Oryza sativa Japonica Group: one gene and its partner. The protein of the gene in region 2 interacts with the protein of the main gene of each other region in a pairwise test. Links are inferred from orthologs where the notes say so. Each region holds a gene or a part of one and is shown on either strand. Other genes may lie near its edges.

Region 1 (4,585 bases), on a different chromosome or scaffold from region 2:
GGTTAGAAAAGTAATTTTCTTTTTGAAAGAAAAAAACTCAAGAGAGGAAACACCATAGTGAAAGAATCTGCTAGATTGCTGTCAAACCAGCATGCATATGCTAATACTACCTGAAAATGGTAGAGGCACGTGCAGTGGTTTCAGTAAAAACAAGGCAGTATTAGAATTCTAATCTAGCTAAGGCGATAGAGTGACAGACCTATGGTGTAAAAAGATCCAAGACAGTGGTTTATCATGCCACTTACAGACTTCCAAAATTTGATCAACCATTTAAGTTGAACACATTGATGCATTGAACTAACTAAAGAAGATTGTGTTACATGTAGTACTGTAACAGGGAATCAGTGTTTCAGCCTGTCACTTGGGCTATTTGAAAATCAACCAAGTAAAGCCTGAAAGATAGAGCTTCAAATCAAGCAAGCATTTGAAATATAGCCCCATGGTAGATTGGAAGGTAATTTAGCTACTCAACCACACTTATCAGCAGTATGTATGCTGTAGAGTGAATAATATAGCAACATTTCACTATCACATACAAACAAAAAAGAATTGCAGTTGCTGTCTCCTAACATTTCCTTTTTCAGCTGATTGTTATTCATGTTATGTTAGATGCATGATAACATACAGAAAATATGATGCAAACATACTAGAAAAAGATTAACCAAACCTCAAACAAAGTCATATCAGCTCCCCCAGTGATATTCCACACAATGCCTGTAGCTCTTTCAATTCCAATGTCTAGCAGTGGTGACTGAATGGCATTAAGAGCAGCATCTCTTGCTCTTGACTTCCCTGAAAATTTATAATAACATGCTAAATAAACATATGGGTAAAATTCAATCTAAGCTATGTATGGTCCCTGTGGAAACAACAAAACATCACAATGTACTATATAATTCATAACTCCCCTTGTCATATATCATCCATTGGTTACTTCGTATAAAAAAAATTAATGTCTTTTACTGATTTGTTTGTCTCTATTGCATAATCCCTTCACAATACAAGAACCTGTTGCACTTTCCACTTAGATTTCTCCATAAGAGAAATAATGAGACCAATGTAAGAAAAAGAAAAGGTAGACATACTTATTAACATAGGGAAATAATTACCAAGTGGAATCTTTGCGGGGAAAACTACTCGAACATCAAGGAAGAGCTAATTCCAGAAAAGAGCAAATACAGAAAGAAGGGAGTTGGATCATAACGTATTATGGTTTATGCTAATTCCAGAAAGCACAATTCCAAAAGACAAATTAAAGAAATACATAGATAAAACTTGTCCAAATGCAATACCTGTAGCCGTTCCAATACCCATCAAGGATGAGCCTGCATTTTGCATGATGGCTCGAACATCAGCAAAATCAACATTAACCAACCCAGGAACCTGCAAAGGAGAAGAGTCCGTTAACTTTATACAAATTAGATAGCACTGAAATGCTCAATTAATCCACATCATACTTCCGCATTCCAACTTTCACTACCAAACCAATGCAGTTATATGCAGACATTATCTTACCGTGATAATATCAGAGATACCACGAATTCCTTGTCGAAGAATATCATCAGCCAAGTTGAATGCTTCGGTTACTGGAGTATTTGGAGAAACAGCAGACAACAGCTTGTCATTTGGGATGACAATGAGGGTGTCCACACTATTTCTCAAGGCTGCTATTCCTTCTTGAGCCTGAACTGCCCGTCTCCTCCCTTCAAATGAGAATGGTGTCGTCACGATGCCAACTGTCAGTATACCCATGGACTTGGCAATTCCAGCGATTACAGGGGCACCTCCAGTTCCAGTGCCTCCACCCATCCCAGCCTGCAGTTTGGACACCAAAAGACTATTATCACATACCTCAATGTATGATGATTTCACAAGTCAAGAGACCATCTAGGGGGAAGCATTTACCGTGACAAAAACCATATCAGCACCGTAAAGAGCTTCCTGAATGGACTCGACACTTTCTTTCGCCGCATTCATCCCAATGTCAGGGTTTCCACCTGCGCCTAGACCCCGAGTCAGCTCCTGCCCAATCTGCAACCTGTTCTGCGGAAGGACCGGCGACATCCTTATCGCCTGCACATCGGTATTCACAATCCAGAACTCGACGCCGTTCATGGAGCTCTCAATCATCCTGTTGACGGCATTGGAGCCTCCTCCGCCGACCCCGACGACCTTGATCTTGGCCCCGTCGTAATCGCAGTGATCCGGCGGCGCGCCCAGCCCCTCCAGCGGGCTCCCGTTCGGAGACCCCTTCCTCGTGGCGACGACGGCCGCCTCGTCGCCGCCGCGGAGGAGGGTCACCTCAGGGTGGAGGTCCAGGAAGGAGTCTTTCTTCTGGAACGAGCGAGGCCTCGCGGCCCCCGCACAGCACCTGAACCGTGAACGTGCCAGGGTTCTTGCCTCCGCCGCCGCCTTCCCGGGACACGGCGGAGCGAGGCGAGTGCAGCACGGTAGCTGCGGCGCCGCCATCATCTCCGGTGAAGCCTAGCAATCTGTGGAGGAGGATGCAGGGGCGGACCAAACGCGGGGCATTGGGGATCGGAGTGTATCCCTTCCCTGGAAGAAGGGAAAGAAGATTTGGATTAGATCGGCAGCAAAGAGGAGGAGGAGGGAAATCCCCAAGAACCCAAGCGAACTATACTAGGGTTTATCACCAATACCTGCAAAACCTCAACAACTCAGCTCCGGCGGCGTGTCCGGCCGGCGGGGGAGCCGAGGGCTGAGGAGAAAGAAGGGAACGCACGGCCGGTGACCACCGCTCGCCGCCGCCAACAGTAGCAGGCCAAGAAACAACAAAATCACCAAAAAAAAAAGGAGAACAAATCAAGAATGAAGAATCAACAAGGTGACAAGAATGCGGCGGAGGTTCGAGAAAGGCGGCGGGGCGCGCGCGGGGGTGGGAGGAAATGTCGGTGAGGAGGACGCCCGTCGGCGCGGGGTTTGGGGATAACGAAGGAGGCTACCGCTGCGCTACTACCAGCCTACTACTACCAATCTGGCACGCACAACACAACGCACGGGAGGAAGGTGGCTGTGGGCAGCAGAGGCAGAAACGGAAAGGCCGAGAGCGGGGTGGTGACGCCAACGCCATGCGATGCCACAAGGTGCCAGGCGGGCGAGGCCCATGGACAGCGAAAGCATTGGCTGGTTTCGTGTGCCGTCCTCTGCTGATGGTGGCGGATCGATGGGTGTCTCCGTCTGGACCGTCTCCATTGGTTCCCTCGGAGGAGCAAAGGGATCCAGCGGAAACGTCCATAGTCGCCGACCGGGCGAGAGCCCGGGACTGACTGACCTTTTACTGTACGTCCATAATAGATCGATGATGATGAAGCGGCCCACAAGGCCTCAAGCCTTACGGGGACCGGCCCATCTTCCTCACCCGGAATAAAAATGAATGGGCTCAAGTTCCGCTCCTGGAGCAATTAAAGTGGCCCTCGTCAAATCCTGGGCGTCCTGGGCCTATATGAATCATCAGAACGAACCCTGCTGATAGAGGAATAAGTTCACTCTGACTCCCTTAACTAATGGTCAGATCTCATTCATCTCCCTCGATCATAAAACTCGGGGTATAACGATAGCCCCAACTATTAAAATCGCTCTCTCCTTTTTATTAAGACGGTTTTCGCTGATGTGCCGTCCACGTGGCAGCACTACTATTAAAAAAATTAAGAAATAAAGTGGGGGGGGGTCCACATATCATCTTTCTCTTAGAGCATCTCCAACAGTCTCTCCAAATCTAACTCTCTAAATGTCTATTTGGCCAACTCTCCATCTAATTTAGCCAGTCAAACTCTTATTTACTCCAACAGCATCTCCATTCATCTTCTCTATTCTAAACCTATGACAGTGGGACCCACGTGTCAGTCTCTACAACCCTTTCTTCCTCCTCATCTTTCTCCTCCTTTTCCCCAAGCCCCTCTGCTCAGCTCGCAGTAGGTGAGAGCTGGTCCTCTCCGCCGCCGCCGCCCCATCCCCATCCCCATCCGCCAGCGCCGCCACCCCATCCCCATCCGCCGCTCGCCATCCGCCACCGCCACTGCTGCCACCCCATCCCCATCAGCTGCTCGCCATCCGCCACCGCCGCCCCATCCCCATTCGCCGCTCGCCATCCGCCGCCGCCACTGCTTGGGCTGACCTCGGAGACGACGGTAGTGGACGGCAACCTCGGCTGGCGACGGATCTGGCGATGACGATGGCGACGCCAGCCAACGACCACCTCGGAGACGACGGTTGGCGAGGCGCCGACGACGGCTGGCAACGGCGCAACGACGCCCTCGAGGATCTGGCGACGGCGCGACGACGGCGGCGCCCAACAACAGCAGATCTGGTGACGGCGACTGCGCCGACGGCGGCGGCGTCCGGCAACGACGACCTCAACTGCAGCAATGGCATCTCGACGACGTGGTAGCGGAGAGAGAAAGGGGGAGAGGGATGCTGTTGGCATGGGGCCCACGATTGGCTAGGCTATTTTGGCTGGCCAAATTTGGCCAGTGGGAGGAGGACTTTGGCCAGCCAGATGGCTTGGCCATCCGGATAGCCAGTCTATTGGAGGGTGAAATTGAGCCAAAATTGTCCAAATTTAACT
Region 2 (4,328 bases):
TTGCAATGATGCAACCGAATGTTCTGGTCCCAAGGCCTTAGATTTGATACTCTGCCACTTGCGAACAATATCTTCTGCCAGCTTCGCATCCATTCTAGGAATATGTACTGGATCTTCATCTAGTGCAGGATCTTCAACATTCATCATGCAAAAGTTAACTCTCTATGATATACATTACAGAATTATAGTAGCATTGTGTATGTATGAGACAAAAATATTTGATGTATAGCTTTGTTAAAACATTAATGCAAAGCTATAAGATCAAGAACATACTGTAATCAGCCAACAAGGATACCCAGTAAACACGTGAGCAGTAAATTCCAGTGTTGTTTGACTACTTTAGCAAATGAAAAGCATTTACTCACCATCAGTAGAGTCGACACTATTAGCAACTGCCACAGATCCATGCTCACTCCTAATAGCAGAAAGGGGCCTCTTACGAGGCAAATATTTGGCCCCAATTACTGCCAACAGTGCAAACAGTGCGCCAGCAGAGATAATCTTCAAGGCGGCATTTCTCGAATCATGAGCAGGTGCATTTTCCTGGTCAAAATTTTCAAGATATCCCCCAGGGCCATCTTTAGTATTTTCCATGGCTGACCTGTCTAACTGTTCTATCAATGGAAAAACCTTGTTGAACGCTTGAATAGCATTTGATTTCACAGTACCAAGTGCAGCTGTAGCTTGAGCACCAAGTTTTGCAATAGCAGCAGCAGCAGCCAAATGAGAAGCACCACCACCCTCCATCCTTTCTAGGTAGCTTAAAACTTCTGGATCATCGTAGTAATCTCCAAGTCTGAACTGCATGCCCCGAGTATCTCTGCTCCTAGGAAAAACCTCAAAGATAAGCCAAGTCTCCAAAAGCTTGCACAGCCCTGGAAGAAGATCATTCTCTTCACTGATGCTAGAGTTGGTCACAATAAACTCTAGAATTTTGGGGTCTCTGTATGGTGAAGACTCATTATCAATTCCAAGCCACATTCTGCACTTGCTAACATCTCCGACTAGCAATGAGCAGAATGCCCTTTCCAATGCAAGGTCCATCTCATTATCATAAGCATAATGAGAACCTATGTTGAACTTCTGGAGTTGTTCAAAAAGATCATCCGCCATCATGATGAATTGTGGCCTTTTACTTATAATTGCTTGAGCGACATGTGCAAGTGCTACATTGTAAATTTCAAACCATTCAGGAGGAATGCTATTCGGTGTTTTTGAAAAGAAATCCATCTGGGAGGTGTAACAGAAAGGGAGTTAACATGTTTTCAAAGATGTGCTCCTGCAATATAAATAGGCAGCTGCTTCATAAAAACAAACATGTACGAACCTGTTCAATTGATGTCATCCTCAAAAAAGCCTCGTTCATGAAGGCTTCACGAGAAAATCCTCCTCCAACGGTAGCAATACCTCCTCTGCCAACGCTCCACAAAATGTTTCTCGCACCTTGAAGCCCTTCTTGGCGCTTCTTATGATGCTCTGTGTCAATAGGAAGGGAGAGAAGCTCCAATACACAGCGAGGTGTAATCTCCTCGAGAGTTTCATCAATCTGTGAAAGCAGATCAGGTGCGAGATTGCTTGCTCCATCTTCCTACAGTATGAAGTTCCTATTAATATTGCTTCAAGGAAATCACCATTCTTATTAAAAAAATATAGCCCATGTGTCCCAAACCAATCTTCACAGGGTTATTTAATCTTATCCTATTCAAATATAAGCCCAATGAAAAAGTAGGGAGTAAAAAAGCAAACAGTTCACCTGCAAGAGCTTGAGAGCCCTCTCGAGCACCTCGCAGCAGCCAATTACATCTGGAGGGCTTGCTGCCATAGCATCCCTTGATAGATCCACATAAGCCAGAGCCATCGCTAGCACCACGTCCTGCTTGAAGCGCTTGGGTGGCCGATCCAGAAGCAACTGTTCTCCAGTTACAAGCACAGCAAGTGCCTCCCCAGCCTCCTGAAGCGCACACAACACACCTGGAACCTGCTTCACAAGACACCCAATATATTATAAGCAGAGAGAGATTATACACTAGTGCTATTTGACAAGATCCAAACACACCCTTTGCTGCCCCCTAAAGCCTCACCTTGTCCCAAGCAATATCCATGGTGAGAGCTTCTTCACGGTTCTCAGAAAGCGCACGATCATACTGAGTGCGGGAGTTCTGGTTCATGAGAGTGTCATGGGCAATCTGCAGCATTTGTCGACGACCAACAAGAGCATCCGTGCTGTAGCCATACTGCGGTGGCTTGGCTATCCGTGCCTCGAACGCCCTCCTGATGCCATCGCCAAGGAAATGTGGCTCTGCCCCTAGAACCTGAGCAAAGCCAGATTCAACAAAACATTTCGGAAATAGTCAAAAAGGCATGATCTCTCACTAGCCCCACACACACATGATATAGGCATAATTCGTATCATAGTATGCAGTGGATCACAAATGCGATGGATTCGGCATTGTAGTCAGTTAATAACCTAGTGAAGTGACACTACGGAAATAGCAAATAACTCGATTTCATGGAACTGAGGGATCAGTAACCTAGCAAAAGACTTGCAGGTGGAATAACGTTTCAACGATTTAGCAGTGACAATGTATCATCACCTACCAAGAAGGCAAGAATCATGCGCTTTTTTTTATCTACGGGATGATATTCCGAGGTCCAAATGATGAACAAACCGCAGCAGATTCACGGGGCCTCACCTTGTAGAAATCGACTTGGAGCGGGAGGGAGCGTTCGGCGGCGTCGGGGAAGAGCGGGACGAAGGGGGAGGCGGAGGGCGCGGCGGCCGGGGCCGGGGCCGGGGACGGCGGGTCGGAGGGCGCGGCGGTGGGGAGGAGGTGGAAGTCGGCGAAGAGGCGTTCGGCCCAGCGGCTCGCGGCGCGGCAGGCAGCGGAGGGGTGAGGCGGCGGCCTGCGGCGCGGGCGCGGGCGCGGGCGAGGGAGGGAGAAGGCGAATGGCGCCGAGTTGGGGCGGGCGAGGAGGTTGTGGAAGCCCTCCATTAGCCGCCGCGGCGGCGGCGGCGGAGATGGAGGGGGCGGAGGAGAGAGAGGTTTTAGGAGTGAGGGGGAGAAGAGGGGGAGCCTTGCTGGCTTTGGCCCTTGTTTTTTTTTTTGCTGTTGTTTTCTTGTTGCTGGATGATCTGGGTGCATGATTGGAGACTTGGGCACTTTGGGAGATTTTGCTAGGTCCAGTATTGAGACACCAATTTCAAAACTAATCTTGCTAAGTCTAATATTTTAGGGTGTGTTTGAAAGGAGAGGAAAGAAGAAGGTTAAGGAGATATGCAAAGCGAAGTGAGTCATTAGTGCATGATTAATTGAGTATTAATTATTTTATAGTAAAAAATAGATTAATATGATTTTAAAAACAACGTTCCTACTTAAAAAATAATAAAAAAATATATTGTTTAAAACTTCAGAAAGCGTGCGCGTAAAGAACAAGGGATTTTTTTTCAATCAATCAGATGCAAACAAACAACACATTATAACCTCATGTTCAAAAATAGACTACAGATTTAAGTCTCGGATTTTAAATTTTGGTTATATTTAATAAGCTAACAGGCATATGAGGAAAGGCTAGACTTTGTTTAAGAGCCAAGTTTTTTACTGGTTTGGAGTCGGGTGTGAAAGTGGAAAGGCTTGTTTAAAGTTGTAATCAGTTTTGGTTTGTTTAAAAGCAAGGTTCTTATCGAATGGTTGTTTGGGTTGAAGCTTTTTACCCAAAGCCCATCATCTTGCTAATTAGACTAAAGGCTTTCAAGTTTCAACCAAATATAAGCAAGAGATCCTTCATCAAGTCATTTAAAGGCAACTTTGGCTGATCAGTTTAAGCATGTTGATTGACACTTTTTAGATTACAATGCTACCAAGTGACAAGGATATACCCCCTCCCCCACCCCACAAAGTTGACGATGTTGGGCTATGATGGGATATCATCAAATCCTCCATCTAAAAAGTGGCAAACCATCAAACTCTCATGTTTCAAATGTTTTTTTTGGCTTAAATTTAGATTTTTGGGGGCTAGTTCTTTTCAGGTCAATGGATAAATTGATGATGAGTTATATTACTTCACAGTAATAATACTTGACGACAAACGAACGGATTAACTATTAAAAAACAAAAATATTGTTTTAGAAAATATTATAGGAGAGTGAAACTCATATATAGAAAACTTTTGCAACAATTACACTGTATAAAAACTTACGAAGTGTGTTCGTGGTAATTCATAATCCATAAGAGAGAAAAAGGGACCCTTAAGAGTTGATTATCCATGTCCATTTTCTCAAGCTCAAGTTACAGATGACAACAATATGTGAATCACTTATCTCTACAGAA

Evidence for each region.
Region 1: the proteins of protein ACCUMULATION AND REPLICATION OF CHLOROPLASTS 6, chloroplastic (region 2) and cell division protein FtsZ homolog 2-1, chloroplastic interact in a two-hybrid assay, tested with the Arabidopsis thaliana proteins (3 studies listed by BioGRID, with this or other methods). The link is inferred for Oryza sativa Japonica Group from reciprocal best matches to the Arabidopsis thaliana genes ARC6 and FTSZ2-1.

Annotation. Positions count from the first base shown.
Region 1 is NC_089037.1:25,859,499-25,864,083, reverse strand, and holds the start of cell division protein FtsZ homolog 2-1, chloroplastic, read right to left. Parts: upstream 2,998-4,585; 5' UTR 2,661-2,997; intron 2,557-2,660; 5' UTR 2,473-2,556; coding exon 1,906-2,472; intron 1,816-1,905; coding exon 1,516-1,815; intron 1,384-1,515; coding exon 1,293-1,383; intron 793-1,292; coding exon 668-792; intron 1-667. UniProt on the Arabidopsis thaliana protein: Exhibits GTPase activity which converts GTP ligands to GDP.
Region 2 is NC_089036.1:1,186,555-1,190,882, forward strand, and holds the start of protein ACCUMULATION AND REPLICATION OF CHLOROPLASTS 6, chloroplastic, read right to left. Parts: upstream 3,049-4,328; 5' UTR 2,994-3,048; coding exon 2,694-2,993; intron 2,313-2,693; coding exon 2,082-2,312; intron 1,979-2,081; coding exon 1,754-1,978; intron 1,589-1,753; coding exon 1,328-1,588; intron 1,231-1,327; coding exon 366-1,230; intron 132-365; coding exon 1-131. UniProt on the Arabidopsis thaliana protein: Component of the plastid division machinery consisting in a binary fission accomplished by the simultaneous constriction of the FtsZ ring on the stromal side of the inner envelope membrane, and the ARC5 ring on the cytosolic side of the outer envelope membrane.